Linked DNA regions of Arabidopsis thaliana. The protein of the gene in region 1 interacts with the protein of each later gene in a biochemical or structural test. Each region holds a gene or a part of one and is shown in the gene's direction. Other genes may lie near its edges. The genes, in order: GP ALPHA 1, RGS1 and PSB29.

The links.
Region 2: the proteins of GP ALPHA 1 (region 1) and RGS1 form a complex in vitro, tested with the Arabidopsis thaliana proteins (one study listed by BioGRID).
Region 3: the proteins of GP ALPHA 1 (region 1) and PSB29 form a complex in vitro, tested with the Arabidopsis thaliana proteins (one study listed by BioGRID).

The regions. Positions count from the first base shown.
Region 1 is NC_003071.7:11,191,643-11,203,782, forward strand, and holds GP ALPHA 1 (G protein alpha subunit 1), read left to right. Parts: upstream 1-5,353; 5' UTR 5,354-5,826; exon of another isoform or gene 5,827-6,178; intron 6,179-6,315; 5' UTR 6,316-6,444; coding exon 6,445-6,504; intron 6,505-6,592; coding exon 6,593-6,665; intron 6,666-6,760; coding exon 6,761-6,798; intron 6,799-6,888; coding exon 6,889-6,978; intron 6,979-7,153; coding exon 7,154-7,231; intron 7,232-7,333; coding exon 7,334-7,441; intron 7,442-7,523; coding exon 7,524-7,625; intron 7,626-7,866; coding exon 7,867-7,922; intron 7,923-8,297; coding exon 8,298-8,432; intron 8,433-8,514; coding exon 8,515-8,608; intron 8,609-8,699; coding exon 8,700-8,759; intron 8,760-8,845; coding exon 8,846-8,925; intron 8,926-9,002; coding exon 9,003-9,180; 3' UTR 9,181-9,460; downstream 9,461-12,140. Other genes in the region: ARSK1 (root-specific kinase 1), read right to left, coding at 595-1,061, 1,147-1,270, 1,358-1,494, 1,826-1,961, 2,207-2,617; FAP2 (Chalcone-flavanone isomerase family protein), read left to right, coding at 10,128-10,534, 10,604-10,838, 10,966-11,041, 11,127-11,229, 11,364-11,432, 11,634-11,670, 11,760-11,834, 11,921-11,972 and 1 more. UniProt on the Arabidopsis thaliana protein: Exhibits a fast rate of basal nucleotide exchange. Guanine nucleotide-binding proteins (G proteins) are involved as modulators or transducers in various transmembrane signaling systems.
Region 2 is NC_003074.8:9,527,178-9,538,318, forward strand, and holds RGS1 (REGULATOR OF G-PROTEIN SIGNALING 1), read left to right. Parts: upstream 1-5,435; 5' UTR 5,436-5,705; coding exon 5,706-5,785; intron 5,786-6,221; coding exon 6,222-6,342; intron 6,343-6,437; coding exon 6,438-6,501; intron 6,502-6,582; coding exon 6,583-6,667; intron 6,668-6,771; coding exon 6,772-6,845; intron 6,846-6,939; coding exon 6,940-7,220; intron 7,221-7,305; coding exon 7,306-7,544; intron 7,545-7,621; coding exon 7,622-7,746; intron 7,747-7,835; coding exon 7,836-7,957; coding exon of another isoform or gene 7,958-7,966; exon of another isoform or gene 7,967-7,982; intron 7,983-8,044; coding exon 8,045-8,233; 3' UTR 8,234-8,452; downstream 8,453-11,141. Other genes in the region: AT3G26070 (Plastid-lipid associated protein PAP / fibrillin family protein), read left to right, coding at 1-29, 147-260, 351-446, 614-688, 792-859, 950-1,022; AT3G26080 (plastid-lipid associated protein PAP / fibrillin family protein), read left to right, coding at 1,821-2,096, 2,209-2,322, 2,410-2,505, 2,817-2,891, 2,997-3,227; AT3G26085 (CAAX amino terminal protease family protein), read left to right, coding at 3,665-3,734, 3,825-4,207, 4,284-4,344, 4,440-4,564, 4,646-4,708, 4,793-4,917, 5,079-5,220; AT3G26100 (Regulator of chromosome condensation (RCC1) family protein), read left to right, coding at 10,886-11,104.
Region 3 is NC_003071.7:8,982,476-8,992,211, forward strand, and holds PSB29 (photosystem II reaction center PSB29 protein), read left to right. Parts: upstream 1-5,108; 5' UTR 5,109-5,307; coding exon 5,308-5,494; intron 5,495-5,605; coding exon 5,606-5,873; intron 5,874-5,964; coding exon 5,965-6,181; exon of another isoform or gene 6,182-6,349; coding exon 6,350-6,465; intron 6,466-6,595; coding exon 6,596-6,710; 3' UTR 6,711-6,936; downstream 6,937-9,736. Other genes in the region: AT2G20870 (cell wall protein precursor), read right to left, coding at 1-186; EPF1 (epidermal patterning factor 1), read right to left, coding at 704-930, 1,017-1,104; ERF53 (Integrase-type DNA-binding superfamily protein), read left to right, coding at 3,578-4,588; DGK5 (diacylglycerol kinase 5), read right to left, coding at 6,937-7,014, 7,343-7,648, 7,739-7,855, 7,979-8,066, 8,254-8,328, 8,776-8,843, 8,954-9,036, 9,247-9,295 and 2 more. UniProt on the Arabidopsis thaliana protein: Involved in a dynamic process of vesicle-mediated thylakoid membrane biogenesis. Required for the normal organization of vesicles into mature thylakoid stacks and ultimately for leaf development.

The DNA.
Region 1 (12,140 bases):
AATAATCTTCAAACTGATTGTTATTGTTAATTTGCTTTGAATTTAAGTCATCTAGGGAAAAAAGTATACTTATTGTTGATATAGATAAAATAAATATAAAAATTTAATAATTTATTACATTTATACAGCATTCTGAAACTCAAATATACCCAAACGGTTTCATATGTAATCTTGAAAACGAGAGTGCTCCGAGGAGCTCATAATTTCATTGGAATCACCAAGAATAATCTAGGGGTAGCTGCCGTACCATACATGATTTGATTTTATTGCAATTCCAATCTCCATAATAACCAACCAAGTGATCATCTACTATGTTTTAAAGAGCGAAATAACTTCAACGTTGTCCGCCCAACAAACTGGTGTATATATATATGATTTACAAACATTTATTTTATATTTCTTGTACATGACTCTTTTGTACAAAGTATTTTTGAATTATGTAAAGGAAATTAATCTAAAATACCAGAGAACTAGGATACTTATAACATCACCTTTCTTTCCTTCAAATTTTTGGAAGAATGGTCATAACTTAAGATAAGAATTGCGTTCATAGAATATGAATGCTTAATAATTCATATGAGAAAATGATGTATTTCAAATGCCATCGTTTTGCTTTGCCTTGGATTCCTTGTAAACGAGAGAATCTGAATAAGCGATGTTCACACGTCTTTTGCCTTTACGGTGATGCCTAAACTTATTTATATCAACAAACTTCTTTCCTTCTTTGTTGTTATTGCCATCATGCTTCCTAATATCAACTTCTTGGATAGACTCTAAGACCTTAACCACCTCACACATTGTAGGTCTATACTTAGGATGTTGGCTTAGACACTTGTATGCTAGGGAAGCAGCTACCTGAGCCGCTTCTGTTTTGTGCTGGTTCGCGAGCCTCGGGTCAATTATCCTCTCTAACTTTCTTTGGTCCCTTAACATAGGCCGCGCCCATTCCACTAGGCTTTGTTCCCTCCGTGTTCGGGTATTGTCCATTGACCGTTTTCCGGTTATCAGCTCTAACAAAACTACTCCAAAACTGTATACATCATTCATCGTCGTCAAATGACCTACAACACATGTAAACCATTAAAGACATATCTCAAAGAATATCGCTTCACGGTAAAAGAAATAAATTCCTTACAAAAATGTTACCAGTCATGATATATTCGGGCGCAGCATAACCTTGTGTTCCCATCACTCGGGTAGTTACATGCGTATGTTCGCCTTCAGGTCCATCTTTGGCTAGACCGAAGTCAGATAATTTGGCGTTATAGTCCTGAAATATCAAAGAGTCAGTTGAGAAATACCACTTTAATTTGATTTAATAGTGGATACAAAATTTAAAAAGGAAAAAAAAACTCACGGAGTCTAACAATATGTTAGAGGTTTTAAAGTCTCTGTAGATGACAGGTTTCTCTGCTTCATGGAGAAAAGCTAAACCTTTGGCGGCTCCGAGAGCTATCTTCATCCTTATTCCCCAAGCCATTGCTAAGCTATTTCCTGTCCCAATTCACACACTTTTCAAAGTTAGTAATACTATTGAATATTATCTAAATTATAAAAAATATATAGTTTTTTAAGAAGTTATTAATGTAGTGTACGACCCATAAATAAAGTAAGAACTTGACGAAGTTAACGTGAACCATATGGATTCTTTTCTTCAATATTTTTTATTCTTGTCATTCTATAACTAAAACGTAATTAAAGTCTTCGTGGAGTTGTTCTTTTAGGTTTAAACAGAAAAAATGTTTTGTAACGCGGTCTAGAACATATATAGCAAAAATTGAAACAACTTTTAGCAAGTTAGGTAAAAATATAGTAGATGACGTACTTCGAAAGAGCTGATTCTCCAAGCTACCTCGAGGCATGTACTCATAAACAAGAACTCTTTGCTCTTCTTCACAACAAAACCCTATCAGCTTCACAAGATGTTTGTTACTTAGTTGTCCCAAAAATAATATCTCCGCCTGCAAACAAAAATAAATTTTGTATACACTGAAAAAAAAAACTTTATGAAGAAATTTCACAAAAGATATATATATTTAATAACATACTGAAAAATGGCCAGATTCATATAGCTAATTAAGAAGATAAACCAAAATTCAAAAAATATATAAAATAATCGAGACGGTCTTCGTAATTAAATTGTTCCTTGTGAATAGAAAAGTCTTGAATGTAGACAAAAACATACATAAAGAGAAAGAAATGTTACCAGCCATTCTCTATGGCCTTGATGGCCATGAAGATCAAGAGCCTTTACAGCAACCGGTTGGGCTTCGATACCCGGTTTAACCTTATCATCAATAAACCCTTTGTAAACCGGCCCAAACCCTCCTTCCCCCAACATGTTACTTCTAGAGAAATTATGCGTAATCACTCTCAGCTCAGACAACGTGAACAAACGAAGCTTCTGCGATGTGAAGGAGTGAGAGAGATCATCCATAACCGACATGGGCGAGCTTGGATCGCTTATGTCCGATAAAGACAGCCTCTTGAACGCTGGACAAGTTCTTATTTTCATTACAGCCTTCTCCCCTCCTTCGTATTTGCTTGCGTTCTTTGCCTTGTAACACCCCAAGAACAGAGATGTCAATGATGTTTTCTTCTTCTTGAACACTGCCATTTTCAACTTCTTCTTTTGTGTTATTTGGGGAAAAAATGGAGAAAGTTAGTCTTTTACTCCTTTTGATGAATCTTTTGTAGAGTGCGTAGGTTTAGAAATTAAGGATGTTCTAGTTAACCTACTTGTCTTCAAAGTCCTCTAATTTATAGTAGTTGTTGTGTCTTATTCGTACTGACCGACCTTTGAGTTTTCAAATTTATTTATATATACAAAAAGTTTGCTTTTTTTTTTTTGTATTAGTTGTATAAAAATGTTGAAGTTATTTTTGGTGGATATATTTATATTGTTCTAAGCTCTATGCTGATATTTTTTTCAGGAGAAACACGATTCCATGTTCACATTAATCCTCACAATAATATTGAAAAATAACGCAAGTTGTTTTCTTTTTCTAATCACAATATAATCAATATTATTGATTATAAATTCATTCAGTTGTTTGTACTTAGACTTCATCTCACCAAAGTCTACGGGCTATATAATTTTGCTTATATATTCAATGAATTGAAAATTGTCTCTCGCTCTACATTCCAAATACGATCTCTCGTTTCATTATAGACTTAGTTCTGTCTAATAGTTTTTGTTGTAATAATTTAGGTAATTTAAAAATGATTTTGTGAATTTAATGGTGTCTCTCTATATTCCACTATCTCGATTTCTAGTTTCATAAGACTAATTAGTTATTTACTAATAGTTTTTGTTCTAATAATTTAGGCAATTAATTTAAAAATGATTTGGTATACATTTCAGGCTGGCAAATAAATATTACGTATAAAGAAGATTTGATTCGCCTTGTTGAAAGGAGAATGAGATGATTAGGCCATAATTGGATGTCCGTTGACTTTGTTTCTTCCATGATTAAAATTTAAGAAGTAAGGAAGAGAAACAAATTTGAACCATTGATTTTGTTACTCTTAACTAAATAATCATTTATTCAATAACTAAAGGTCGGTTGGTCTTCAGGTACGAACGTTCTTCTATACTAACTTGTAAATTGTAAACGTAACAGATTGTGCAGTAGAGATTGCGGTTACAAATGTTTGACAACGATCACAAAAATTGTTTAACACCGCGTATTCTTCCGCCAACGTTTGCGGCAGCGGGTGGTTAAAAATTACACTATTTTTAAGTTTTAAATTCAAATAAATTTAATAACTTTTTTGACTCTTGGAGTCATGCTCTGAACACAAATGATTCATTTTCCGGAGAACATAAGTGCATTGTATCCGTCTAATCGTCCCAACATACTTCACTATAAATGTAATTTAATACTAACAATTAAATTGAAGTGTTGTTCGTCGCATGCATGTATGTACGTACAATAATTATATAGTTTCATTATCATAGAACTGTCGGGGAAATTGTGAATCATCACCAGCCGCCACATGAACTTATTTGCCGTTGTTCTGGTTTAAGGCTGGTAAGATTTATTCGGCGGCTGTAGGCCTGTAGCCCTTGAAATATGGTAGACAAGATCGTCCATATAATTAAGATTTTGTTTTTCACTTCTAAATTAATTAATGGGTGACTTGGGCGATTTTGTATTGTTGTTTAGTGGCTAGAAAGAAAACTTTTAACGATAAATTTACTTATGCAAAAATTATATTAGTTTAGTTTAGCAACTTTATATGTACTTAATTAGTAAAATAATACATTTAAATGTAAACTATTTGTACATATTAATGTTGTCCAAACAATATGCACTTTTTGAATTTTTTTACTGTATTCTCCACCTAGTTTTTCTAATTCATCCAAGCATTTTGATGAATTTGCATGTCTCCATAGATGAATTAGTATCTACTATCTCTAAAAACTCAATCTCCACCGAAGATATTGCTTAACCAATGTGCTCCTAGACCAAATCCAAAACCTTAGCCGCTTCATACTTAACATCCACTTTTGTAGCATCCTCAAACTGTTTTACAACCTTTTCAACCGGGACACAATCGCCTTGTCTTAGTAGTGAAGCGTAGGTTAATCATGGATGATGATTTTTGTTCTTTGACAACATCTGGTAAGGTTTTTGGTTTATGGCTCACCCTTTTTACTTTTTCGGTCTTTCTTATATAGTGTTTTGGTGGGTTTTTTCTCGTTCATTTTTCACGACCTTCTTATCCTATTACTAGGGTCATTAAATTGTTCGTTAGGTTAAAGAGATTTACAATATGAAACCGATTATGTCCATTAAAACGTGAATAAGACAGAAAAGAGCACCAAGAAAATGAAAAATAATTTAATGTATGTTCAGGAAATCCTATGAAAACATAATGATTGATCGGGTTTATTGGTTTTGTAGCTGGTGGTTTAAGTGGTTAGGGAAGCTATGTATTTATAATTTATTGATTCAATATGGTTTTGCATCTGAAATATATTTAAGCCCAACCAATAAATATACCATCACTCGCCAAGACCGTTTCTCAGTGGAAACATTTTGTGAGAAGTTCAAGTCGATGTTAATGATTGTAAGGATTTAACGGATGTGATGTTTTTGTAGGTTGAAGATTTAAAGTACTATATGATATGTTGTGTTTTTATCGATTTTGAATCTTTATTTTCTTTCCTAAATCAAAACTGCAATATATTTCCTAAGCTAGCAAAACCCATTCTAGATATAAGTAGAGTCCAGCTTGTAATGCAACTGCAAAGCAAAAATCAAGATATTTCGATACAAGGACTTGATGTCATAAAATTCCAAATTTGTTTTGTCTTGCCACACTTAGTAATTCTCTTCCAATAATGGTTAACTTAATAGTATATAAAATAAAAATGCATATAGGTTCCGTAATTAATCTTCTTTATCGTCACGAGAGGCACATCTTTTTTCAACATTTGACCACTCTCTCTCTCTCTCTCTCAGGACCTTTCGGCGTAATTTCGTCTTCCCCTTTGCTTAACATTTTCTTTCTTTCTTTTTGACCAAATATTAAAAATATATCCATTTTTATTTTATTTTTAATTAAATTCATAATTTGCATTTTATGTATTTATAATAAAAAGGAGAGAATAAATCCAAAAGAGTGAAGCAAAAACATTAAAGCGGAAAGAAAGTGGTAAAACAATAATAGAAACAGGAGAAGCAGAAGTACTACTTCTTCTTCTTCTGCTCTCTTCTCAGACCTTGTTTTGTACTTTCTTCTTCTTCTTCTTCTTCTTGTTTGCGAACTCCGATATCTTCTTCACTACCTTTGACTCCATTTCTTTTTCTTCTTCAGGTGAATTCTACTTTACTTTTCTTCTTACCCCAAATTTACTCTTTTGGGTTTTATGAAAGTTTTGTTTTTTATTACTCAGATCTTGTCCTAGTTCTCCTCCTTGTTCTGTTGTTTTTCTGTTTCGTTTCGAATTGGTTTTGTTTTTCAAGTTTAGGGTTTTGTAGATCAGTTCGTCGTTACTGTAGATTGGAAATGAAAATTATGATTCTTTGGATCTGATTATAGCAGTTCAAGTGTGAACTCTATCTATTACTTGATTTGCTATCTCACAGTTTTTGAATTTCTTAATGGTGTTAGCTACTCGACTTTTAGAGCTCATTTTCTTAACTACTGAACTTGTTTCATTTGAGAGGTACTAATCCAGTATATATTATAAAGTTTAATGCTTTTTCTTACTTGCATTCTTTGAACATGTTTGCTATTTTGGTGAGTGAAACTTTATGTATATTTATGAATTTTGAGCTAAAGTATTGATTGTTTCATAAGTAGGTGTAGGCATTGTCTTGTTATGAGAAGCAACTGTAGCTGGAAGCTCAAGTATTTGTTTTTAGCTGTGGAGCTTGAATCTTGATAGTTTTCGACTTCTATGTTATTACCTGTGGGGATATAGAAACAATCATGGGCTTACTCTGCAGTAGAAGTCGACATCATACTGAAGATACTGATGAGAATACACAGGTTGACTTAAGAGCTCTTGTAACACTCGATGTATGGGAGCATTATTTCTGATACTTCAAGAGTTAACTTGGTTTGTATTAATCTACAGGCTGCTGAAATCGAAAGACGGATAGAGCAAGAAGCAAAGGCTGAAAAGCATATTCGGAAGCTTTTGCTACTTGGTATGTAGACCTTGGATTAGAAATGTGAATGGCATGCCTTGATGAATCTTTTGGTAATAGTTTTCCTCTAATTTTCTGACTTGTGTTTTGTAAAGGTGCTGGGGAATCTGGAAAATCTACAATTTTTAAGCAGGCAAGTCCACAAGGAAAATTGATTGTACTCTTTACTTAAATTTACTTATGAATCCTGCTAATTGAATGATACAAATTTACTAATTTGCAGATAAAACTTCTATTCCAAACGGGATTTGATGAAGGAGAACTAAAGAGCTATGTTCCAGTCATTCATGCCAATGTCTATCAGACTATAAAAGTATGCAATACTTGAAATGACTGTGTCGGTTTTATCCTTCTAATTGGCGGTGTTTTCGAGTTCTTTTGGATTTACAATCTAGAGAATCATTTATATGAGTAATCAAATTTTTTTCATATGTTGATCTTGGTATATTGTACATGTAGCTTAATAGCTACTCTATATTGTTGAACAGTTATTGCATGATGGAACAAAGGAGTTTGCTCAAAATGAAACAGATTCTGCTAAATATATGTTATCTTCTGAAAGTATTGTAAGTGGTTAGATTCATAGGTCACTTGAGCTGTCTTTGTTAGAGTTTTGAGTCTTGTGAGTACCTTGTCTTATGGTAGTCAACTTATTATCGTAATATCAGGCAATTGGGGAGAAACTATCTGAGATTGGTGGTAGGTTAGACTATCCACGTCTTACCAAGGACATCGCTGAGGGAATAGAAACACTATGGAAGGATCCTGCAATTCAGGTGTGTTTGTGTGTGTGTGTGCACGTTTTATTTACTATTGCACTCAAAGTTGAATACATGATTTAAACGTTTCATTTTGTAGGAAACTTGTGCTCGTGGTAATGAGCTTCAGGTTCCTGATTGTACGAAATATCTGATGGAGAACTTGAAGAGACTATCAGATATAAATTATATTCCAACTAAGGTATAACCAAAGTATCATTCTTTGTTGAAAACATTTCAAGTAATGATCTTAAAATGGTTGAATAAAACTCATTGGATCAGCCTCGGAGGATCAATGTATTAACAAACAGAAGCCTTTTGCTTTCCATATTAGCCTAGTTGAGCTAGCATTTTCAGAGACCAGAGTCAATATGCAATTTCTGTGACATGTGTCTTCCGGAATGTGTTGTCATTGGTGCATTTTTTCTATGTTGGTGTTTCAGGAGGATGTACTTTATGCAAGAGTTCGCACAACTGGTGTCGTGGAAATACAGTTCAGGTACCAACTACTTTTTGTTTTACCCTTTTTCCTGTTTGATTGTTAGTCTTTCATAGATGAGTAATTGTTTGATAAGCTCTAAGTGTTAGTCTGGTTCACTAGGCAATATGATTAGCTAGGCGGTTTGTAGTAGCTGTGTTAACAGCTCAGCAACAATCTTGTTAATGTAGTCTCTCTGCGATGTGTAAGTTATTTGGTGAAATGAATAAAAGTGTTTACGGATTCGATTCCTATGATTGCCACTAAGATGTACTAATAGAACATATGAATTCCATACCAATATCAAACTTGTTGTTGTGGTGAATCTACTTGTAATGATCCGTTACCAAAGATGAATTCACAAATGGTATATGAGATAAAGCTTCGTTTATGCAGCCCTGTGGGAGAGAATAAAAAAAGTGGTGAAGTGTACCGATTGTTTGACGTGGGTGGACAGAGAAATGAGAGGAGGAAATGGATTCATCTGTTTGAAGGTGTAACAGCTGTGATATTTTGTGCTGCCATCAGCGAGTAAGCTCACTTCATTATAAATTATAAGATATCCTCGTACTGTCCACATATTGCCAAAACATTAACTGAGTTTTGATCATAGGTACGACCAAACGCTCTTTGAGGACGAGCAGAAAAACAGGATGATGGAGACCAAGGAATTATTCGACTGGGTCCTGAAACAACCCTGTTTTGAGGTTTTTAGTTACATTTTTATCTCATCTTTTAAAAATTTAAAGACACTCTTGAGATGGGTTTGGTTACAAAAACTTGGTTCTCTTTACGCAGAAAACATCCTTCATGCTGTTCTTGAACAAGTTCGACATATTTGAGAAGAAAGTTCTTGACGTAAGAAGAACTAAAGCATATTTATTTGTTTTGATAGGCAAGCAAGTCTTTTTGTTCAATAACGCTTTCTTATTCAATGTGCATAGGTTCCGTTGAACGTTTGCGAGTGGTTCAGAGATTACCAACCAGTTTCAAGTGGGAAACAAGAGATTGAGCATGCATACGAGTAAGCTTGTCTCCAAACTTTACTGATTCCCGCCAAACTGTTACCGTTATATGACCTTATTTTTAATTTGGATTCAGGTTTGTGAAGAAGAAGTTTGAGGAGTTATATTACCAGAACACGGCGCCGGATAGAGTGGACAGGGTATTCAAAATCTACAGGACGACGGCTTTGGACCAGAAGCTTGTAAAGAAAACGTTCAAGCTCGTAGATGAGACACTAAGAAGGAGAAATTTACTGGAGGCTGGCCTTTTATGACCTTATTATTACATATCTCTAGTAAATTACCTCTCCTTATTATTATAAGAAAAACTCGAAAACTGAATGACCGTGTAATTTATCTTTCGGGACAAAAGACTTAGCGATTCAAAATCTAATGTGTCTCGATGGCTACGACTAGTTTCTATTTTATCATTGTTTTTGTTAACATTCCTCTGTCTTTGACTTCTTATTTTTTTTTCTCATCAAAAACATCTCATTTTGATCTTGTTTTTGGGGTTATATTATTATTAAAATGAGGCATCCACATCCCGAAATCTAGAAAGTGAAACACAACACAAAACGTAACTTTATCAGTACTAAAAAGTTTTGGAATGTTCCTAACATGAAAAAGTTCTTACATTAAAAAAAAGTATGGGGGTGAAACTGAACAAATACAAAATATGATGTAAAAACTGAAATAAAAGTAAAACACATGGGGTCTACCGTGATTTCAGAACATTCGAAAAAGCGACTTTAAAAATAATTGCACCGAAGAAAGAAGAACCCTGAAAGCAAAAAACTCTTCGCCGTTGTTGTTTCTTACGTCAAAGAATATTCCTTCTTCTCTTTCGTTAATAGATCCCAAAAAAAAAAAAAAGCTTCATTGATTCTTCTTCCTCTGTTTTTGATTCCGTTTTCGAGCAATCCTCTGAAACATGTATGTTGTTGTTCTCTCTTTCTTCCAATGGTGTTCTGATTTTGCTTTTTCTGTTATACGATAATGATAACAATCGCTTCTTAGTTTGATTAATACGAAACTCTCAAAGATCACGAAATTGGTTTTGTTAGGGAACCATTTAGATCAAGGCTTGTTTGTGATTGTTGTTGTTGATTCAGCTTTGATTTGATTCGTTAGCCATTGATTTTGATTTGAGAATTTGTCTTTGTTTGATTTTTCTTGCAGAATCTTTGGTACAATTGGAGTTATATTCAAAAGCTTATAAATGTCAAATATGGATCCTAATTCAGTTTTACCTAAGAGAAGTTTCTTACAACATGAGTTGTTTTCACAATTACATATACCTGGAAGCTTAGCTTTCGAAGCATTTAGTTGTATCTCTAAGTTTACAGGAGCTTTGCTTTGTTGGTTTTCACATGGAAACTTGCAAAAAGAAGTATCTAAACATCAATGGGGATTAACTTGTAAGAGCCGTGATTCTTTAAAACATGTGTTTGAACATAGGAACGTCTCTGTGTTCCCATTTCACTATGTATCAAAAGATATTAGTCCTGGCTTCTTTGGAAACATATCTAAATCCACTATTCAGCATTTTGTTAATGAAGCTGAGAGGCTACATTCGTGTTCTTTGCTCTCTTTGGCGGCTGCGATGATACCGTCTTTGAATGTCATGTAAGTTTAGTAATATTGTTTAGTGCTAAAACTCTCTTTGGGGAAGTTTCTGATTGTAGATTTTATTAGGTCTGCAAATGGACTTGCTCTGCCACTAGGGAGTAATGATGTTAAACTTAGGGAGAACATTGAACATAGGACTTGTCCGGAGAACACTGAACATAGGACTTGTCAGGTGGGATGTGAAGAATATAGTGGTTTGAGTTTTCAAAAATTAGACTGGACAAGACAATCAGTGGAGCCTAGGACGGGGATCGAGTTCCCGATGTTGTTGAAGGAGAATGCTTCGCGATCGAATTCTGAGGTTCTTATAGCTTTTTCTTCCTCAGTTTGTTATTCTTTGTCATTACAACTTATGTTAGAGTCACCAAAGAAGAGATTTGATTTAAATTTCGAAAAGTTAATACGTTTTGAATTCATCATAATTTAAGGTGCTTGTTGCAACGGGATCTCGGACAATGAAAATTATCAGAATTAAATCTCTAAAAGTATATGCATTTGGTTTTTGTAAGTGCATTCTAGCTTTGTATCTTTCTATATATATGGAACAATTTGTCATCTTTTGCTTCTAACTTGAACTTCTCTGGATTAGATGTTCACCCTTCCTCGGTCTGTCAGAAGCTTGGCCGAAAGTATGCCTCGGTTCCAGCAAGCAAACTTGACAAATGCGATGACTTATACAAAGACCTTCTTAGGTATTATAGCAATCTTTTTCATATTATTAGAATTGTGCACTTTTATTTGTTTGAAGTCCACTCTAATCTGATTTAGTTGGTGTAGCTTTGATTGGACATTTCGTCTGAAAGTCTTTTATTTGAGTTTTTTTCAGGGAGGATATTGTTATGAGTGTGAGGCTTGTGGTTAACTACAATGGCTTGAAGATCAATACTGTGAGAGAGTAAGTGGAAGTTGCTACATATTGAACATCTTGTATTGTTTTGAACTATGTTCATGAATCGTGAAGGTGTTATGGTCCTTAATTGATTCTCACTTTTAGTTTCTTTTATTTTAATCTATTTACTTGCCATTTGATGATTTGAGGCGCATTACACTGATAGATGGCAAATTAATCCCTTCCCTTGTTTGTCTATGTTTTCAGTGTTTTCGAGAAATCTCTGCGTGCTCGCTTGGTTAAGGTAAATGATACACCGAGTGTAGTTTGTACTCTGATAAGCACTGTGGATTACGCTTTGCTACATCATACGCTTCTCCATTTTTATTGCAGGCAAATCCAAAAACTGATTTCAATTGTTTGAATGATTTTGGTTCATTCTTTAGACAAGACATTCCAATACCCGCGGTACATAATGGCTAATGCTTACACTCACACTTTACATATAAACATACATAAAAGGAGTATGACTCATTTTAGTGGCTCATTTGCAGGGAACAATAATAGACTTTCGGCGAACAGAAGATGGACAGCTAATCACAGAGAGTGAGTAATAATTATGAAGCTTCCTTCTCTATGCAATTTATTGTATACCTGACCTGAACATGGCCAACGTTTGCAGTTGGTGGTAACCTGATTGGAGCTGTCCGAAGCAAGGATCTTTGCAGTTAGTTCTTCATTCTAATTATTTGTTTTCTCGTTTTTGTTTGCGTA
Region 2 (11,141 bases), on another chromosome or scaffold:
CGCCTGATGACCAGCTTCGGATTGATCAGGTTCTTTCTCTTTCTTGTGGGAACCATTAGGGTCTTGAGAATAGTCTTGGTACACTAGGGTCTAGAGAATGTGATTGAGAGACTAATGCTGAGTGACTCTTGTCTGTATGGAGCCAGTTAGCGCGTAAAGTGGAAGCAGTTAATCCCACCAAGGAGCCTTTGAAGTCTGATTTGGTCAATGGAAAATGGGAGCTCATTTATACAACCTCTGCTTCGATTTTGCAGGCAAAGGTTAGGGCTTGTGTTGTTGTTGTGTTGTCTAAGTTTGTGTTCTTTTGCCTTGTTGTGTCATTCTCTTTTATCTCTTGAACAATGCAACAGAAACCAAGGTTCTTAAGATCAATAACCAACTACCAATCTATCAATGTGGATACACTTAAGGTGCAAAACATGGAGACTTGGCCTTTCTATAACTCGGTAATGTTTCATTGTGGCTTGACTTGGCTCTTAACAAAGGATTAAGACCAAACTTTTATCATCAATATAGCTCTTTGGAGAGTCTTTGCTTTTTATAAGTAAGATTCCTTTAGCAGAGTTTGTAAAATGAGTCTCATACATTATAGCAAACTACAATGTTTTCATAGGTAACTGGAGACATAAAACCCCTCAATTCGAAGAAGGTTGCTGTGAAACTCCAAGTGTTTAAAATTCTCGGATTTGTAAGTACAAAACTCTTACTGCTATATGTGTATCCACTATAAGAGAACCTTTACTGATTCAGACACCATATGCTTCTGTTACTGATTGGTGTTTGCTGTGCAGATTCCTATAAAAGCACCTGATAGCGCCCGCGGTGAACTTGAGATTACCTATGTGGACGAGGAACTACGGTTAGTAGTGAATGATAGTTTTCATTTTCATGTTTTATCAACAAAATATCCAAAACGTTTGAATATTGAAACAATGTTGTTTTTTTGCAGGTTATCAAGAGGTGACAAAGGGAACTTGTTTATATTGAAGATGTTTGATCCCACTTATCGAATCCCTCTTTGATCTACCAAACAAATGGTACCGAGCCATCCATCATACATACTTGCTACAACTTGCTATGTCTCTCTTCATCATGTATGTAATCTAACATAAGAAAAATTAATAAGAGGGAAAAAATGAGACGAGCTTCTGTCATTGTTTCAACTTGTTCAAATCAAAGATTCTGAATCTTGATTTGGTTGAGCAGTTAGTTCCAATCCTAAACTATGTGATGCTCAAGCAGTACAACAAGAAGACCTTGAAGCTCCTCAAAAATGCTTAGATCATTTTCTCTCTATATCTCATATTTTTCTTTCATCTTTCATTCATGTCTCATGTCTGGTTCCATGACCTTTCTACATTGTTTCTGTTGATTTATGAATCTTCAATAACACTACAAGTTAAACCAATTAGAAGTGAGTTGGTTATGGTCCGGTACAAAGATCACAACCGGAGAAGGATTGAAGAGTGGTCAAAGCGATGGTCAGAGTTGGTTGGTTCCGTCGAAACAGGAAGAAAGGTAGAGCCTTTTTGACAATTTGAAGAAAATAGCAAAGATCTACTTTTCCACATACGTTTTCGACGCCGTAATGAGTCAGAAACAACTAGGGCCTCTCGTTTTAGAAGAAAAGAGAGCAAAAAAACCTTATCTTTGTGACTTTCGGTGGTGTGTGTGATGTTGTTGTCGGTCATGGCGAAGACAGAGCTACGATCTCTCTCTTTTTCCTCTCTTATGTGTCTATCTTCGAACAGAGTCTCTCAGAAACGACCCAGCCACTCTTTAAAACTCCATTGGAAAAGCTTTGTCCTGTTTTGATATCCATGGCTTTACCTTGGTGCTTAAAGACTGGAGTTTTAACGTCTCCGGCCGCCGGATTTAATCATCCATCGGACAGTGGCTTCGCCGTTCCGACGAAGTTACTGAGTATTCGAAAAGGTGATCGGGAAAGATTGAGAATCCAAGCTGTTTTCAGCTTTCCTCCAAGAAACGGTGGAGCCGAGAAGCGGAAACAGCTCAAACATGAACTTGTCGAAGCCATTGAGCCTCTTGAACGTGGTGCCACTGCCTCGCCTGATGATCAGCTTCTGATTGATCAGGTTCTTGATTTCTCTTCATGTGGGAACCATTGAGAATAGTTTTGGTACACTAGGGTATAGAGAATGTGATTGAGAGACTAATCTGAGTGGTGTTTGTTTTGAATCATGATAGTTAGCACGTAAGGTGGAAGCAGTAAACCCAACCAAGGAGCCTCTGAAGTCTGATTTGATCAATGGGAAATGGGAGCTCATTTACACAACATCTGCTGCGATTTTGCAAGCAAAGGTTAGAACTTGTAATCTTTGAAACTTGTGTTGTTGTTTGTTTTTGGCTTGTTGTGTAATTTTCTCTGTCTCCTTGAGAATGTAACAGAAACCAAGGTTCTTAAGATCGTTAACTAACTACCAATGTATCAATATGGATACACTAAAGGTGCAAAGAATGGAGACTTGGCCTTTCTATAACTCGGTAATATTTCAAACCGCGACTGAATTCTCTTTTTGTACCATTTTCACAAGTAGGTTTTGCGATTTTGCGTTGTGTTAGACCATATACAAAGCTCTTTTCTCTGTGATGTTGAAACCTATTGATGTGATCCATTGCTATATAATATTCAAAATGTACGAAAGTTTGAGACTTTGTCACATATATGTATGATCATGTTCCATTGTGACTCACTAGGCAAGAACAAAGGAGGACTAATACCAAAGTTTTTATCATCAATATTCTTTCAGCAGAGTTTGTAAAATGAGACTTAGCAAACTACAATGTTTTCATAGGTAACTGGAGACTTGACACCCCTCAACTCGAAGACGGTTGCTGTGAAACTTCAAGTGTTTAAAATTCTCGGCTTTGTAAGTATTACCAAAACTCTTGCTGTTATAAGGGAAACTGGTAGTACTGACTCATACATACACCATATGCTTCTTTTACTGATCATTAGTGTTTGCTGTGTGCAGATTCCGGTAAAAGCACCTGATGGTACTGCACGCGGTGAACTAGAGATTACCTATGTGGACGAGGAACTACGGTCAGTAGTGAATGATAGTTTTTCATTTCTCTATGGAACTGACAACCAAAAACATTTGAATCTTGAAACAATGTTCATTTTTTACAGGATATCAAGGGGCAAAGGCAACTTGTTGTTTATATTGAAGATGTTTGATCCCACTTATCGAATCCCTCTCTGATCTATCGAAAAAAATAGTTTCGAGCTATCATACATACTTAAAATCGCTTGTTCTGTCTCTCTATTCATCATGTATGTAAAAATCTAATAAGAGAGAATAAAAAGAGACTAGCTTTTGTCAATGATTCAACTTGTTTTGATCGACATTGCACCACATTAGATTAAAAAAGCTCTAAACTTTGAATTCGGTACAGAAAATCAGAAAAGGACTCATGTCCTCTTCTTTTGAAATATGTTACAATAAAAATTTGGTTTCATTTCTTCTTCTTTCTTGGTGCGTTTTCTCTGATAAACGACGCCGTATGAAGCTGGCGAGACACAGACCTCTCATTTCGACGCTTTCTTCTTCGTGAAACTCTTCATTTGTTTTATATTGGAAACAGAGTCTCTCTTATGAATCAAAGCGACAAACTTTGAGAAGGCAGGCGAAAATCTCGGATGGGTTCCATCGCTCTGCAATCTTGGAGCAGAGGAGCTTCAACTTCTCTTCATCTCCTTTTTCGTCCAGGTAGGTAAGTGCGATTCCTAACTTGATATGATCATATATATGAGAATTCGACAAAGATTTTTGGTTGAAATTTGCTTACTTGATGATCAGTTGGCTCGAACCCTAAGCTATATGATGCTCGAAGAGTACAAGTAAGATTCTTTAATGTTGCCGCTTCTTGGTCCGAACAGATGATCTCTTATACTATAGTCTGTTTATTTTGTCTTTTGGGTTTTAAGTTTGATGTAAGAGCCTCTTCAAGTCGTAAATCACTTAAGAAACTCAAAAGAGAGTCACAACAAGGTAAAGACATAGGCTTAAGAAATGTTACAGATGAAGAAGTTTCTTCTCCAAGATTTGAGGAAGCTCAAGTTGATTCTTCAACTTCAAAGGACTCCATTGATGTTTTTGTTGCTGCTCCTCGAGACAAAGTGCTTCAGGCTTGCACTGTAACTTCCGGTTTGATGGCTGCACTAGGTCTGATCATCAGAAAGGTGAATCCCAAATCTGAAAGTTTATGATTTTGTGATTCTAGCATTTGTATCTTGCTGATTTGGTTACCGCTTGCAGGCGTCTCATGTTGCTTCGACTGAAGGATTACTGGTTCCAGACTGCTCTATAGATGTACCATGTAACATCTCGGAAAACGATTATGTTGTGTACTAAGAATCCTTTGAGAGATTCAGTAACCAAAACATGTTTTGTATTGCATGATCTTTCTTGCAGTTGGGTTTGAAACTTGGCATCTCGGTTTAATTGCTGGAATCGTTGTGTTTATATCGTCAAGTAGGTTCTTGCTACTTAAATCTTGGCCAGATTTTGCTGATTCTAGTGAAGCAGCAAACCGACAGGTCAAAACATTACACATTATATACATTTATACGATTCTTTAAACTCCGCTTATTGTCTCCTTTGGTATTCACTACTTGCAGATTCTCACTTCCCTCGAACCTCTAGATTACCTTGTTGTTGCAATGTTACCGGGAATAAGTGAGGTAACAATAAACAATCACAATAAAACACAGAAAGGCTCTCCTTTAGAAAATGTCGTTCATTGGTTTGATTTGGTGTATTCACAGGAGCTGCTGTTTAGAGGTGCATTAATGCCTTTGTTCGGAACTAATTGGAATGGTATTGTAGCGGTTGGCCTCATTTTCGGTTTACTTCATCTCGGGAGCGGAAGAAAGTATTCTTTTGCAGTTTGGTAAGCCGTTTTTACTGAACATTTTGGTACCTCAATGCTGATGAGAATTGCGTAGACCGAATCTTGATATTAGATGATTGCCTTTAACATGTTCTTGCATCTCTCTATCACATTTCCGAGGTTTTCCTATTGAATTCTTTGCGGTTTCTTGAAATTTTCAGGGCTTCGATTGTCGGTATAGTCTACGGTTATGCAGCTGTTTTGTCGTCGAGTCTTATCGTTCCAATGGCCTCGCACGCACTCAACAATTTGGTGGGAGGTCTGTTGTGGCGATATAGTTCCAAGATCAAGTCATTGGAGTGAAATAAACAAAATTTACAACAGGGTTGAATTAAAAAAGTATACAATTTTAATGGGTGGGTTTGTGAAATCTCTCAATAGTATAGGGTGGTTATGTCAAAAATCTATAATAGAGGGTGGTTATTGTAATTTTAATGTACCAACTTGTCACAAAGGACAAGTATGAAAAATCTATAATTATAGAAGTGAAAAGTGAAAAACCAATCAGAATTGTTACCGGAAAAAGGAAGTGTCTTCTGGTCAAAAAAGTCAGAGAAGAAGAGAGAAACGTGAACAATGAAGAGACAGAGACGTCTCTTCTCTTATGCGAAAGTGTGAATCTTTTAAAGCTTTTTGTTTCAACATCGATAAATGAAGTTTCTTTTATTGAATTTATAGAAATTTGCACACTTTACCTTGACATTAAAGCAACAAGCTTTGAAACCAAATAAAATCTCAAAAACCCAGAAAGCGAGTGGAGAAGAGAGAGCTGATATGCTACAATAGAAATGGCGAGTGGATGTGCTCTACATGGTGGTTGTCCCAGCGATTACGTCGCCGTCGCAATTTCAGTCATCTGCTTCTTCGTGTATGTGTTCGAGCTTAAAAATCCCATTTTTGGGTTTTAGTTTTGAAGATCTAGATTTTTCATTTACTGGGTTTGCTTGTTGACTCTTGACTTGAGTCAAAATCTCGAATTTTGTGTCTTTAATCGTTTAAAATTTTCATACGATGTCTCTCTTTGCTATTTTAACTCTTTGTATTGTAAGTGTTTGATGTTATGTATCAAAAGATCTGTCTTTTGTTTCGTTTCAGTTTCTTTTAGCTGGGAATTAGATGGTTTCAGTATCTTGATAGCAAGATTCATATATTATGTCGGAATCGATTATTGAACTTAGATTTGAAGTTCAAAAGCTTGATTTAATGGACTAATTGAGTGGATTTGTATCATGAGTTAACTTCCAAGTAGTTCAATTTCTCTATTAAGTTGATTCTATCTGATGGATTTCACTTTGTTTATTTAGGCTGTTATCGCGCTCAGTGTTACCGTGTTTGATTCATAAGGCTCCTCGTACTAACAGTAGCAGTTTCTGGATCCCTGTTATTCAAGTTATCTCCAGCTTCAACCTTCTCTTCTCAATTATGGTTAGACTACTTGACTTGATGATTCCGTTGCTCTTAAGAATCACTTCATTTGTTGAGTTTCTACACTAATAGACTGTTTTATATTTAATTTTCAGATGTCAGTTAATTTGCTTCGATTCAGGACGAAACATTGGTGGCGATATTGCTATCTTTGGGCAGGTTTGTTTGGAAACCATGATTCCTCATCTTCGTAAACAAATTGACAGTTATATCAATAAGTCTTGTATAATTTGGTTTCAGTGTGGATTGAAGGACCACTTGGGTTTGGTTTGTTGATGAGCTGCCGTATAACTCAGGCATTTCAACTATACTTCATATTTGTCAAGTGAGGTTCAATGTTGATCAAAATGTTTTTGGATTCCAATTCTATCTCTATTGGTGTAATTGAGTTTAATGCTGTTTGGTTGTTACATATTCTTTGCAATGTAGGAAACGTCTACCTCCGGTAAAATCATACATTTTCCTCCCCCTTGTTTTGTTGCCATGGATCTTCGGAGCTGCAAGTAAGAATTGTTCTGAACGTTATATGTACTGAGCAGTTCTTGGTTTCTCTTGTTTTGGATAATAATAACTCAAAGCTTTTGATTTTGCATTTAGTTATCCACGCAACAAAGCCTCTCAACGATAAATGCCACATGGGTCTTCAATGGACTTTCCCAGTTGCAGGCCTTCATGCTCTCTATGTCCTTGCTTTAATTGCATTCACAAGAGCAGTTCGACATGTAGAGTTTCGTTTTGACGAGCTTAGAGATCTCTGGAAAGGAATTCTCGTCTCAGCCACTTCAATCGTTATATGGGTAACAGCGTTTGTGTTGAATGAGATTCATGAAGAAATCTCTTGGCTTCAGGTTGCTTCAAGATTTGTGCTTTTAGTCACGGTATGAAAGCTAATACCAGGACTGTTCTTTATATTTGCAGTTGGAATACCTTTTTAACAGACTTCTGAGTTGATTCTTCTTTCAGGGTGGGATTCTCGTCGTTGTCTTCTTTTCCATCTCGAGTAACCAACCTCTTCTTTCACAAATCAGCTTGAAGAAAAGACAAAACTTTGAGTTTCAAAGAATGGGTCAAGCTCTAGGCATTCCCGATAGCGGATTATTATTTCGGAAGGAGGAGTTTCGACCTGTTGACCCAAACGAGCCACTCGATAAGCTTCTTCTCAATAAAAGATTTCGCCATTCGTTTATGGAATTTGCTGATAGGTACTCCATTCAATACCTGACCTCATATATATCCCGGTTTCACCATTTATTTAAACTAATTCGTTATATGCTGGTAGCTGCTACGCTGGAGAAACATTGCATTTTTTTGAAGAGGTGTATGAACATGGTAAAATCCCGGAAGATGATTCGATAAGAAGAATCTACATGGCTCGACATATCATGGAGAAGTTCATCGTCGCAGGTTAATTACATATCCATCTTCCCTCTTCTTTATAGACCTGTCTCGTGTGTTCTCTCTATAAATCTAACTAGTAATTCCTTAAAACACAGGAGCGGAAATGGAATTGAACTTATCTCATAAAACCCGACAAGAGATCTTAACCACTCAAGATCTAACTCACACTGATCTCTTCAAGAACGCATTAAACGAAGTCATGCAATTGATCAAGATGGTAAAATAACATCTCTCTTTCACTCTCTTACGCACGCCTTCAAGCTATTCTCTTGATTCTCATTTTTTTGTGCTCATGAATTTGAAGAACTTGGTAAGAGATTACTGGTCATCCATCTACTTCATCAAGTTCAAAGAAGAAGAAAGCTGCCACGAGGCAATGCATAAGGAAGGATACAGTTTTTCATCTCCAAGACTGAGTTCAGTTCAAGGCTCTGATGATCCTTTCTATCAAGAACATATGTCAAAGAGTTCCAGATGCAGTAGTCCCGGTTAAGGAGTCTAAAACTGGTACTAGACCAGAACCCAAACCAATGTTCATAGCAATCCAATCCATGTAATCTTCCTTCACATTTCTTGTACATGTCATTTTCTCTCTTGTTATACCTAACTGTAAGAGAAAATGTCCGGTTCGGATTTTGGTTTAGTTTTAAATGTGTATACCGGACAAAAACTATGGAACCATACTAATTAATATCTCGAAGAATTTATACGTATATGCCATCTGTTTCACCAAGAATAAAAAAGCACCTGCAGATTGATCTTCATGTCCTTGCAGAGTGATGATGTTGCATCACATGTTTCATGATGTGATGACATATCCATTGGCCTCGCTAAGGCTTTTCATCAACATTTTGACATAATGTTTTTTTCCACCACTATATTTTGACGTGTACAACATCTATAACGAGAAGGTGGGATGGTCATCAAATATTTCAATTTTAGAATATAATTTGTTACTGAAAAGAGAAAGTTGAAGAATTTTTTAGGTTTATCATATGATTAAATGATATTAAAAGTTTTAAATATCTATAAAATATAAAATTAAATATTGTTGAGCAGCAATAAAATGTCTTTAGGTAAGTTTTTAAAAAAAAAAATCATCTGTTACCATTTAAGCTCTAAATTATTCAGTAAAATTCTGCAAGAAATGTCAATTAAACCCTAAATTCAGTAACTTAGCCAGATTTATTCTGCTGTTAACATATAAAAATTAAATGTTCAAAAAATAAAACTTATATGTGTAGGTAAGAAGTCTTGTCAGCGAATGAAAAAAAAGTTTAAATTAATGTTTCATTATTATGGTGAATCTTTCCCAAATATTAGTGGTTCTCATCTCACCATAAATAAATATTATTTCCCAAAGAAGTTTTTTTTATTTTATTTTTGGCTGTCTACCATATGGTTTTGGTATATATATGGGTAGCAATTATTGGGTGTTGTCGATGTTCTCTCCAAGATAGTTTATAAAACTAAAAGGAATCTTTATCAGTTTATCTTTCACCAAATTAGTTAATTTCAATATATTTTTTTGGTTAAATTGTTTAGCTTATGGGGAATTCTCTAAATAGTAATTACATCTATTTTCTGTTCCAAGACTATTATGAATAAATTTTCGAAAATGCTACAAATTAGTTGTGATAATGTTATTTCCTTTTCATTCTTATATCTCAATCTTAATATCTTCATTCTATCTTTGTTTAAAACTCAAACTAAAATGAAAACTCTATAACATCTAGACATGAAAACTCTCACTAAAATGAATTTAACAAAATTTACTTCTATTTTCGGTGAAAATAATACTCCTTATAAACATGAAAAAGAATGAGGATGTCATCATAGTGGATAACTATGTAAGGACTCATGAGTAATATAATCAAATTATTAGCAGATATTAATAAACTACTATAAAGATCCGTTGGATAGATAGATAGATAACTTGTTCTACCACTCAAACCAAGTTTTGGATGCACACGTCTATATACACACATAACACATGCATACATGTATTGATCATCATGATGTTATATTCCATTACAATCAAACATATATGTGACATATAATCACAAATTTTCTTATAATTTGTTATGTTATTTACTGAGAAAGAGATCTGATCGCTTTATAAGTCCGCATAAAGAGACACCACAACTTTCTTTCTTCTTCATTCACTTCTATCAACGCCAAATTTGCAGACTTTCCCAGGACCAAAATTATATTAAAAAAAAGTTCCTTTTTTCTGATCAAATTGTGAAATTCGCTTGCTTGCTTTCTTCACAGTCAATTAATTCTCTAACAAAACATTCTTCGATCGTTCGTTTTCATCTTCTATGCTTCTCTGATCAGACACAAGAACACAACCAAAGAAACTCACTATAGCTTGTCTGTAGATTCTGATGTTCGAATTCTTGTTGTTGATGATGATTGAATTGATGATGATGATGGTTTGATGCAGATGGGTTTTCAAAAATCTCATCTTTTTTCTTAACAAGTAATCATTTTTATCCATCTCAAGTCTCTGTTGAATTTTCTATGATTTTGTCTCTGATTGTGAATCTGGGTAATGATCAAACTGTAGTATTAGTTACTAACATTTCCCCAAATGGATTGATCTCTCTGATGTGTTTGTTTGGTCAATCAAAATTGATTTCTGGGTTTTCTGTTGTGATCATGGTAAGGTCAAAAGTTTTGAGTTTCCGTGTGCAGAGGAGAAGGAGTAGTCCTTTGCGTGTGACAAACTGTTTTCTTATTATCTTCCGTATCAGATCCAATCTTTCTTTAAGATTCCTTTTTCATCTTTATAGAATAATTCATTGTTGATTCCTACACTTCTCTTCCAAGTTTTCTTCTTTCATTCTTGGTTGATTTGATTTGATTGATTCACAGATTCTTTCTCTGTTCTTCATTAGTCAAAAGGTTTCACCTTTTCTAGTTTCTGTTTATAACAATTGATTATGATTTGGAACCTTACTTAGTTTCTGTTTCTTATGTAGATCAAAAAGCTTAGAACTTGTTGAACAATACTAGAGACTAGAGAATTTGCAGGTAAGTTTTTGGGGATCTTGTTCTGTTTGTTTTCTCATATTTCAGGCTAATCAGAGTGTGACTTTCTTGTCTTAATTTGTGGTTTTGTAGATAATCTGTTTCAAAAATGGATGCTACGAGTGGAACTCCGAGTTTACAGTATATTAACTTGCCGGAACAATCTGTTTCGACTACTTCTCCTCCTGTGTCACCATTTCAGAGGCCAAAACGACATTGCTTTGGTGACACAACTCCAGGAGAGTTTCCTTTAGCAGCTAACCCTTCCATTGTCCTACATGTTCTCACTGAATGTAGATTGGATCCTCGTGACCTCGCTAATCTCGAGGTTTTGTTTCGAAAATGTCGGAAATGTTTTACTGAAA
Region 3 (9,736 bases), 2.2 Mb from region 1:
CCTTCCAACACCGGGAATGAGAATAGTTGGTTTGGGCTCAATGGTTACAAGAAAGTCAGGGTGTTTGACATCAGTGGTCTTAGGGGACTTGGGAACGTGACGTAGTCCACTCACTTGCTCTACAGATCCAAGCACTAGGCTTAAAACCACGACAATGACTGCGGAGGTGATAAGTGAAGAAGCCATTAATTTTATTTTATTTTGTTGTAGAGGAGAAAGCTCGTGTGTTTGTTTGATCCTGTGGAGGGAATGTGTGTGTATGTATATAGTAAAATACTGAGCTAATTGTGGGAACATTTAACGAAGGTGAGATGATATGGTTGAAAATAAAGGGTGTGTAACAAATGGGTAGTGTGGTTATTATTAGCGAGCCTCCAAAGTTTGGTGGTAACAACGTATACGTACTTTTGTTGTTGCCTTTTAAATATAATTCTGTCTACAACTTTTGTTGTTGCTGTCTTAAATACGGCCTCATGGACCATAATACAGCGAGAGAGCCCAAATAGGTGAGTGGCTTTCATTTTTTGATATCCATATATTTTCTGATTAATTAATCTCGGATCAAACTGTGTTTAAGATTCCTATTAATAATAAGAAAGAAACTAATTAAAGATGCATTGTATACGTACACATGGTCATGTCCCGGAGAAGCAAAAGGAAAACAAAACGGTTGAATGCATAGAATAAGTGTAGAAGAGGCTGATCAAGGGACAGGGTAGGACTTATTGTTGCACATGCATTTATAAGCCATTGGACAAGTCTCAGCCTCTTCGACGGATGCACACACAAAGCTAACCATCACAAGACGGCATGGAGAACACGAGCCACACGCGTGTGAGCAATCTGGCAACCTAGACCCAGCCACCTGCACCGTGTCCGGCCTCCTCCTCTGACGCTTCAATGCCCCGGTCATTCCTACATGATGATGACCTGCACATGCACGCAGACATGAACAAGTTAGAGATCTTGAAGATAGTGAAAGAGCTGGAGTAAGAAAGATGTGCATAGATACATACTTGGATGGGAGGATGTTGGTAAATGCCTAGCCAAGAGAGAGCCAAAGAAGAAAGAGAGGAAAAAGGCAAGGAGAAGAAGAGACTTCATGATATATTATCGCAAGTGGTAAAAGTAAAATTTGGGATGAAATAGTACGGCGAGAAACAAGGTATATATGATCGTTAACAAAGGGTTAGGAAATTGAAGAGACTCACGGTAGAGAAGAGGAGAGAGTCACATGAAAACAAGATCGAACATATGAAATGATATAAATTTTGAGGAGATGATGTAGAGTATGTGAAGCCTAATTAAGAACTTGAACTTCATTCGTGCTGCTTTGGTGAGTGTCATGAGCTTCCTCTGTGAAAAACTGAAAGACATACTTTTGTGTGCAATCACCTTTAATTTACCCTCTATAACCCTTCTTTTCTGTGACCTTCATTAATGCACCCAATTAATGTTCTTACTAAAAAAAAAAAGTTGAGCATTTGATGAGATAGAATGAGGGACATTGTCTTGGGGCTTGTGTTTTAAAATCGATAATATAATAGAGTTAATTACACATGAGGTTATTAATGATTTAAATACTGATTATACTGAAATTGCACAATTGTTTTGAAAATGATAGTATGTTCTATACTTGACATCTCAATATTTTGACACTACTACACTTTAAGCGATTAATGAAAAAATATTAAAGTTTCAATCAACTTTGCACACAAAAAAAAGTTTCAATCAACATTTGAAGAGTGTCGAACATGCACCTCACCAATCACATTACACTATAACTTTTCTACACCTTTCTTTGGGATGCTAAATTTCAATGAAAATTTTCTTATTAAGTTTCTATTTGCTAAAGGGGGCAGAAACATCAAAGGTCAAATGATTTAGTTACCAAAGTCAACGGCTTAACATCATAAAATCATCTTCTAGGAATCAATGTCCCTTTGAGTAGCCTTCATAGTATAATCTTCAAAACTTTGGCAAGTTAATATATAAATATGAAGCACTCATAATATAACTGGTATAAGATAATGGTTTGGGATTTGACATTCGTTGCATTCTTAATCAATCTAATCGTTTTCTCAAACTGCTGCCAATAAATTTAAAAGAAGAGAAAAACTTATTAAGTAGAATGATGGACCACGTTAAAATATCTTAATAAGAATACTACATAAAATACTAATGGATAGTGTATAAGTTTAATTGGAATAGCAAGTTTTATGATTGGAGAGATAGAGCATAGAGAGATAATGAAAGTGGAGAGAGCTGACCCATTCATTCACCGACTTTTTAAGCTTTAAGCTGTTGACTTTTTCTTCTAACACGAACCTTTTCCCTTGTCTTTGTTTTCTTTTTGTTTTGTTTTGTTTTGGAGTTTGTTTATCTTTATCTGCCGAAAGTTTAAGACTTCAGCCTCCCACCTTGGCACCTCCTTGCGTCCACGTCATCTTAATATGTACCAAGGTTTCTAAGTTCTTCATGTCAATAGACATTATAACATATTTGGAATCCATATTATGCAAGGAGACATCGGTTTTACTAATGCGAATTGAGGGGCTTGTATAAAATCGGTCTGCTTCAGAAAACATTCCATTTTTCAACCCTTGAAAGTCCATTCAGTTTACCATCCAAGAGTTTTTCCTTGTTGTGAATGATAAGAAAATCCATAACATTTATCTAATTTTATCGTATTGGAAAAATAATTTAATATTTCTGAATACATTTATTAAAAATATAGTTAAAAACGATGTATTTTTAGCGTTTTATAATTATTTAGCATTATTTAGATGTTTTCGTTATTTTGTTATTACATCATTTTAATTATTATTCATGTGACTTGAAATTAATTACTTTTTAAGGTCGAATCTTTTTTTACGCCTGCCTTTACACTTCTTATTAGAAGGTTATGTATCGAAACAGCCATCCAAAATTTAAATAAATTCTAAAAGAAGTTATATATATTATGAATGTATGGTGATACTGACATGGGTAGGGTACATTCTTTTTCTATTGAGTTAGTTGATACGTTAAGTTGGATGAGATATAACTTATACTATCATATAAGCTTTTTTTAATTTGTGTGTTTCAAGTTTGGTCGGTTTTGTTTATGTCTTTTGTAGGTGGGGTATACAGAAAAATAAGAGAAAAAAAAACAAAGTCAAAGCTGACTTTGACGACAAATCGCTAACCTTCGAGAGATGATGATAACAAGCCTAATTAAAATACACGTTACGTCGCAATCAATTGCTTCAATCTCATTCTCATTGCATGTCATCCTTAGCCGCGGTTAGCCGACCATACTATCAACGATGTGCATACTATCAACAATGTATTTGTAATAATTAAGTAGAAAAATAAAGAATGTTCCACCGTCCAAAAGAAACACAAGTACGGTCCTGAGAGGGCTTGAGATATTTTGCTTAGTGATATATGTCAACATCTTAGTTAAGCCCCACCGGTTCTGATATAAAAGTGGGGAAAATATTTCATAACCACACAACAAATCTCTCTGTTTCTCCCGCTCTTGCTCTGTTTTCTCAAAGACAAAAGAGGACATCGTCGTTGACTCCTCTTCTCTATGGCTACTGCTAAGAACAAGGGAAAATCAATCAGGGTCCTTGGTACCAGTGAAGCAGAGAAAAAGGATGAGATGGAGTTGGAGGAGGAGTTCCAGTTTAGTAGCGGCAAGTATAAAGATTCGGGTCCTGGCTCGGACATGTGGTTAGGAGATGCTTCCTCTACGTCTCCAAGAAGTCTTAGGAAGACTAGAACCTTTGACCGACATAATCCCTATCTCGTATCTTCTTATGCTACTCCTCAGCCGCCAACAACAACTACATGCTCTGTCTCTTTTCCCTTTTACCTCCCTCCAGCGATTCAAAATCAACAACGATTTTTACACCCGAATGACCCTTCAGGACAAAGACAGCAACAAATGATCTCGTTTGATCCTCAACAACAGGTGCAACCATATGTTGCACAACAGCAGCAACAACAACAACATCTATTGCAGTACTGGAGAGACATTCTGAAGCTGAGTCCGAGCGGAAGAATGATGATGATGAACATGTTAAGACAAGAAAGCGATCTGCCACTGACGAGGCCACCGGTTCAACCCTTCAGCGCCACCAAGCTATATAGAGGTGTCAGGCAACGCCACTGGGGAAAATGGGTTGCCGAGATCCGTAAGCCACGAAACAGGACACGTCTCTGGCTAGGGACATTCGATACAGCAGAAGAAGCCGCCATGGCCTACGACCGCGAGGCCTTCAAGTTGAGGGGAGAGACCGCTAGGCTCAATTTCCCTGAACTTTTTCTCAATAAACAAGAGCCAACTCCCGTGCATCAGAAACAATGTGAGACGGGGACTACTAGTGAAGACTCAAGCAGAAGAGGAGAGGATGATTCGAGCACGGCATTGGCAGTAGGAGGGGTGAGTGAGGAGACGGGTTGGGCTGAGGCATGGTTCAATGCAATTCCAGAGGAATGGGGACCTGGAAGCCCTCTATGGGATGATTACCACTTTCCCATTTCTAACCATAAGGACGATCTTGACGCCACACAAAACTCTTCTTCTGATACAATTTAGGACCTTTGTTAGAATATAGATATGCTTAGTTGTATGACTGATCTAGCTTGTGTTTTTTTTTTGGGTGGAGACAGTTTTTGTCATCTTCCACATTTTAGATTCTATTTTCGACCATCATTTTTTTCTTGATCGGTGACTATGAATCTAATGGGGTCAATCATTTTCACATATAAAACTTAAGTATTTGGTGTTTGTACTTCATCAGTTCATCTTATTCCATAGAAAGAGAGTGAGAAGTGATCAATAACCCTTTTAACTGAAAAAAAGAAGAAGATCAAAACCTAAATAAGATTTAAGTACATATGTCTAATTCGACGTAAGACATTTTTGGAAACGATCAATGTACTAACGAGTTGAATTCTGATGAATCTTGAGCATGAATAAACGGACTTTGTAGTTTGTACAATTGATAATGAAACAGAGAGCAACATTATGTACATGTGATATATGCTGCATTTATTTATGGGCTTTTATTAGATGGACCGAGCTCTAGCAAAATCCAAAGTAAATGGGCCTAATCCTAACGTGGACAGACAAGGGACACGTGTCACACTACCGACATCTCGTGGAGTTGGATAAGCCACTCGAAAGTCGAAACTCAGAAGATCCAACCAGAGCCATCATCATCCTTCCAATGGCTATTACTTGAGAACTCTTCTGATTAAACATAGCAACAACAACAACTCTTCTTCTCCTCTCTTTCTCACTTCAATTTAGCGATGGCTGCAACTGCAATCTCTTCTCTTTCCTTCCCAGCTTTGGGTCAATCGGACAAGATCTCCAATTTCGCATCTTCTCGTCCTCTCGCCTCCGCAATTCGCATCTGCACAAAGTTTTCTCGCCTTTCTTTGAATTCGCGTTCCACTTCGAAATCTCTTATTCACTGCATGTCCAATGTTACCGCCGGTGACTCTTCTTGAACTTCACATTGCATTTCACAATTCATTCTCCTTTGTTTTGTATTGAAAAAGGCTCTGACTTTATCTGCATTCACTCTCTTGTGGTTTTGTTGGTCAGATGTGCCTCCTGTATCAGAGACAAAGTCGAAATTCCTAAAAGCTTACAAGCGACCCATCCCGAGTATCTACAACACGGTTTTGCAGGAGCTCATTGTCCAGCAGCATTTGATGAGGTATAAGAAGACTTATCGTTATGATCCTGTTTTTGCCCTTGGATTTGTCACTGTATATGATCAGCTCATGGAAGGATATCCGAGTGATCAAGACCGAGATGCCATTTTTAAGGCTTACATTGAAGCCTTGAATGAGGATCCTAAGCAATACCGGTTTGCTTCTTCCTGCTTCCATCTTCTCCTTGATAATGAATGTCTTCTTGTTGAATGTCTTTTTCTAAAGATGATAACTTTTTTTGTACAGAATTGATGCTCAGAAGATGGAGGAATGGGCACGAAGTCAGACTTCTGCTTCACTAGTTGACTTTTCCTCTAAAGAAGGAGATATTGAAGCAGTTCTTAAGGACATTGCAGGAAGAGCTGGTAGTAAGGAGGGGTTTAGTTACAGCAGGTTCTTCGCTGTTGGGCTCTTTCGTTTGCTTGAGCTTGCAAGTGCTACTGATCCAACTGTCTTGGACAAGGTGATTCTATTCGTCTTCGGTTTGCTAATCTATATTAACAGCTTAATCTTGTGTTTAGAGGAAGAAGAAATGTTGCTAGTTTTGTATCCATTATGTTCACTGGCAATGTGCAACTGTATTCTCTCTGACATCTCACGGTAATTTTGATCTTTGTGTCTCATGAAACAGCTTTGTGCATCCCTAAATATCAACAAGAAAAGCGTGGATCGGGACCTGGATGTGTATCGTAACCTGCTTTCAAAGCTTGTCCAAGCCAAGGAATTGCTTAAGGAGTATGTCGAGAGGTACTGATACTGAATCCCTATCTAAATAGACTAGGCACTGGTCTATTTTTGAATGAATATACGGTGCTTGCTGCACCATGAAACTTCTATATAGAGCCTAACTTGGATCTTTATACTTTTGGTTACTCAGGGAGAAGAAGAAGCAAGGAGAAAGAGCCCAATCTCAGAAGGCTAACGAAACAATCTCCAAGTGTCTGGGAGATACTCTATATAACCCATCTTTCTTGGTTGAACGGAAATCTTAGAAAATCATTTGTGACTTCTTTTTTTGTTTTCTTAGCAACAACTATGCCCAAGAACATATATATCTCATTTCTAAGAACATTTCAGACGTGTATATGTTTGCTTTTTTTCCTTTCAATTACATGAGTTTACATAATGTTGATTCATGTAGTATTTTATACATTGATGAGGTTACTGTTGTGCTGTTACTAGTATATGACAAGTTTCTTTAAGATTTAGGCACTGTCTTCAGAGCACATGTGACCAACCATGAACATTTGAATTTCTCCTCCTTGAAGCCCTTCCTTTTTTATTACTGTGTTCTCCCTATAAAAAAAAGGTCAGATTCTATGTTTAGGAGTTGCAACATCTGAAAGTTTCGCATTTGGCGTCTCTGCACTGTCCTGCTAACTGCTGCAGTACATGTGCGTTAAACGAGAATCTGTGTTGCTATAAATCCAGATACATTATCTCGGCCATTAAACGTGAACAACCAAACAAAAGCAAAGAAAAAAGATGGTTACCAATCTAAACCAGTTGCTGCTAGTTGGCTCCTTTATGAAAGAGTGAATAAAAAAATTGGAGTCCGGAGGAAGAATGCATAGAATCAACAATGAAAATGGTTAATTGTCTAACTAAGTTGAGAAATATCAACCTCATCAGGAATCTTGAAGGTATCCGCAGCACCAAACTTTCTAAATTCTTCGCCTTCAGCCACTGAGTCGTCTTCATTATCATCATAATCTTCTGCACCATCCTGATGGCGGGGTGTTGAAGGGTCAAACACACTTCTGGACCGGCAGTCATGAGTTGCAAGCATGTTCACTTGGCCAAGGTGTGAAATCTCTACCATCACAGTTTCATCATCCAGTGGCAGTGGCTGTTTCCAGGGCTCCCCATCCATCCTCATGAATGTATGGTCGGTTGCACCTTTGTGAAATTCGAAGCGAATACGATTTGCCTAATCACAGAAGTTATCATTTGTATGCACTCAATCATCACATCTTTATTTGTGTGTATCGTTATCATTTCCAACTTGTACAATTCTTACCTGGGCAAGTCGTGTCCCATGTCCATTGGGAGCGAGCAGAACAAGACCATGCCAAGCATTTCTAAACCCAACAACCTCAATGAGGCCATCATCTACAAATGGTGGAGTCAAGCCTCTCTGTTTGTGTCACAACAAAGAAAAATGCATATTATTTTACCATGGCGAAGATAAATACACAAACGAGGATATATCAGAAACTTATGTAGCACTCAGGCAATGTCAAGAGTTCGTAAAACCTACATCACGTTGTTTCCTGGGATTTGGTGTGCCCCAAGGATTTAATCCTCCCGAAAAGCTGGGCAGATTCAGACATACAATGGACCTGATGCTGCAAGAGTAGAAACAAATGTCCGAATTGGAGTAGTTCATATTCGATCATGTAACCATTGCTTTGTAACATTTGAAATGTAACCATATATAGTTAAAGGTTACAAACAGAGAAAGATCCCAAGACTATCCAACATGTCCATCCTGAACTGTGTCCAATGGGATCCCTCAGGATTAATAAAAATTACCTATGTGGTATGTGGAGGTCCTGCCACTGGCCATTTCTAGTTGCAATCTTAACCTTGGCAAGCTGAGCTATATTCCTGCATTGGAAGCCATAGAGCTTTCCTTAACATTGTGATAGAGAGCAAAATCATATATAAACAGAAATTAAATTACAGCCAAAAGACAGGAAATGTAAGAAATGTGAACCACTTAACCGAGAATATAAAACCAGCATAAGATTACATGTTTCGATATTGATGTTGGAGAGTATTTCAAATTTGATGTTGTTTAGCACACAACGAGACCCAAGCAGTAAAAAGAACAAATGCTGAAAATAATGATGGGTACCAAATTTCTAATTACTGACACTAGAACAGTATACTAAAGACAAAAGATAAGGCAGTAGTGTTGCAGAGCATTATAATCATTCATGTCCAAGAATCTCAGAAAGAGAAAAACAGTGAATGAGAATGAGAAGTTGAGGGGGACCTGAGACTCAGAAACAGAAAACAATGAAACGAAAAGTATGTCTACATCTTACACACCGTGAAGCAGGGTGGAAAAGAGAGGCACAAAACCATCCTTGCGTGCAACCAAGCTTTACATACGTACTCTGGCATTGTAAAGCAAAATGCAAAGTATTTATTCTTTGTTTAGTATAAATCCCAGTGAAGGGGTATTAAAAGAGAAGGTGTAATCTAAAAGGTCAAATTCAAAAGGTACCTGATTAACCAGCTGATTCTTAAACTTTTCAGGGTGAAGCTTCCTCTCAGAATGAAACGCATAAGAAATCTGAGCATCCATTCCTTCATAAGCACAATAGAAAGAAGAACTTTCAAGGAGATTTGTCTTTCAAGGATATCAGCTGGTTTCGTTTATTTAATTTCAATACAAACAATGCAATAACTAGATTGAAACTCAATAAGTTAGCTCATCAACCAACTCCTAAGGGGAAATCTAACTTTGCTAATGACTTGTGGGAAATCCAAAGTTAGATTGAAGCTAAAATATCTCACCGAGGCTAAAGTAATTCCAGAACCCTCCTCGAAAAGTGTGGCAGCCTTCCTGAAAAACATAAAGGGTGTGTTTCTATATAAGATAAGACAGAAAAAAAAGGAAGAGACACAGCTATATAATAATAATGGGAAGAAGAAGGTAAATCACCTTGTTTAGTTCATCAGTTGGAGAAACACGGTGAAATGCATGTAGAGAATGTGGTAACTCAAGAGGAGCAACAGGATCACAAGAACCACCTTCTTTGGGAGTTTTCATCCTCATAAGTATGTGCCAACTTGAAGCAGCAGATAGATAGTCGTCTGTTAGTTATTCACCAAAAGTAAAGACTAATAAAAACTACTGTGGAGACAGATATGTAAAACATTACTTGTCAATCTTCATCACTTTTGCCTTCAACACTTGTTCCAAAAACGACTCCACTGCAGTCCTATCTGTTCCTGGATTCTTCTTTCCCTGTAGAGAGATACATACACTTAATAATAATAATAA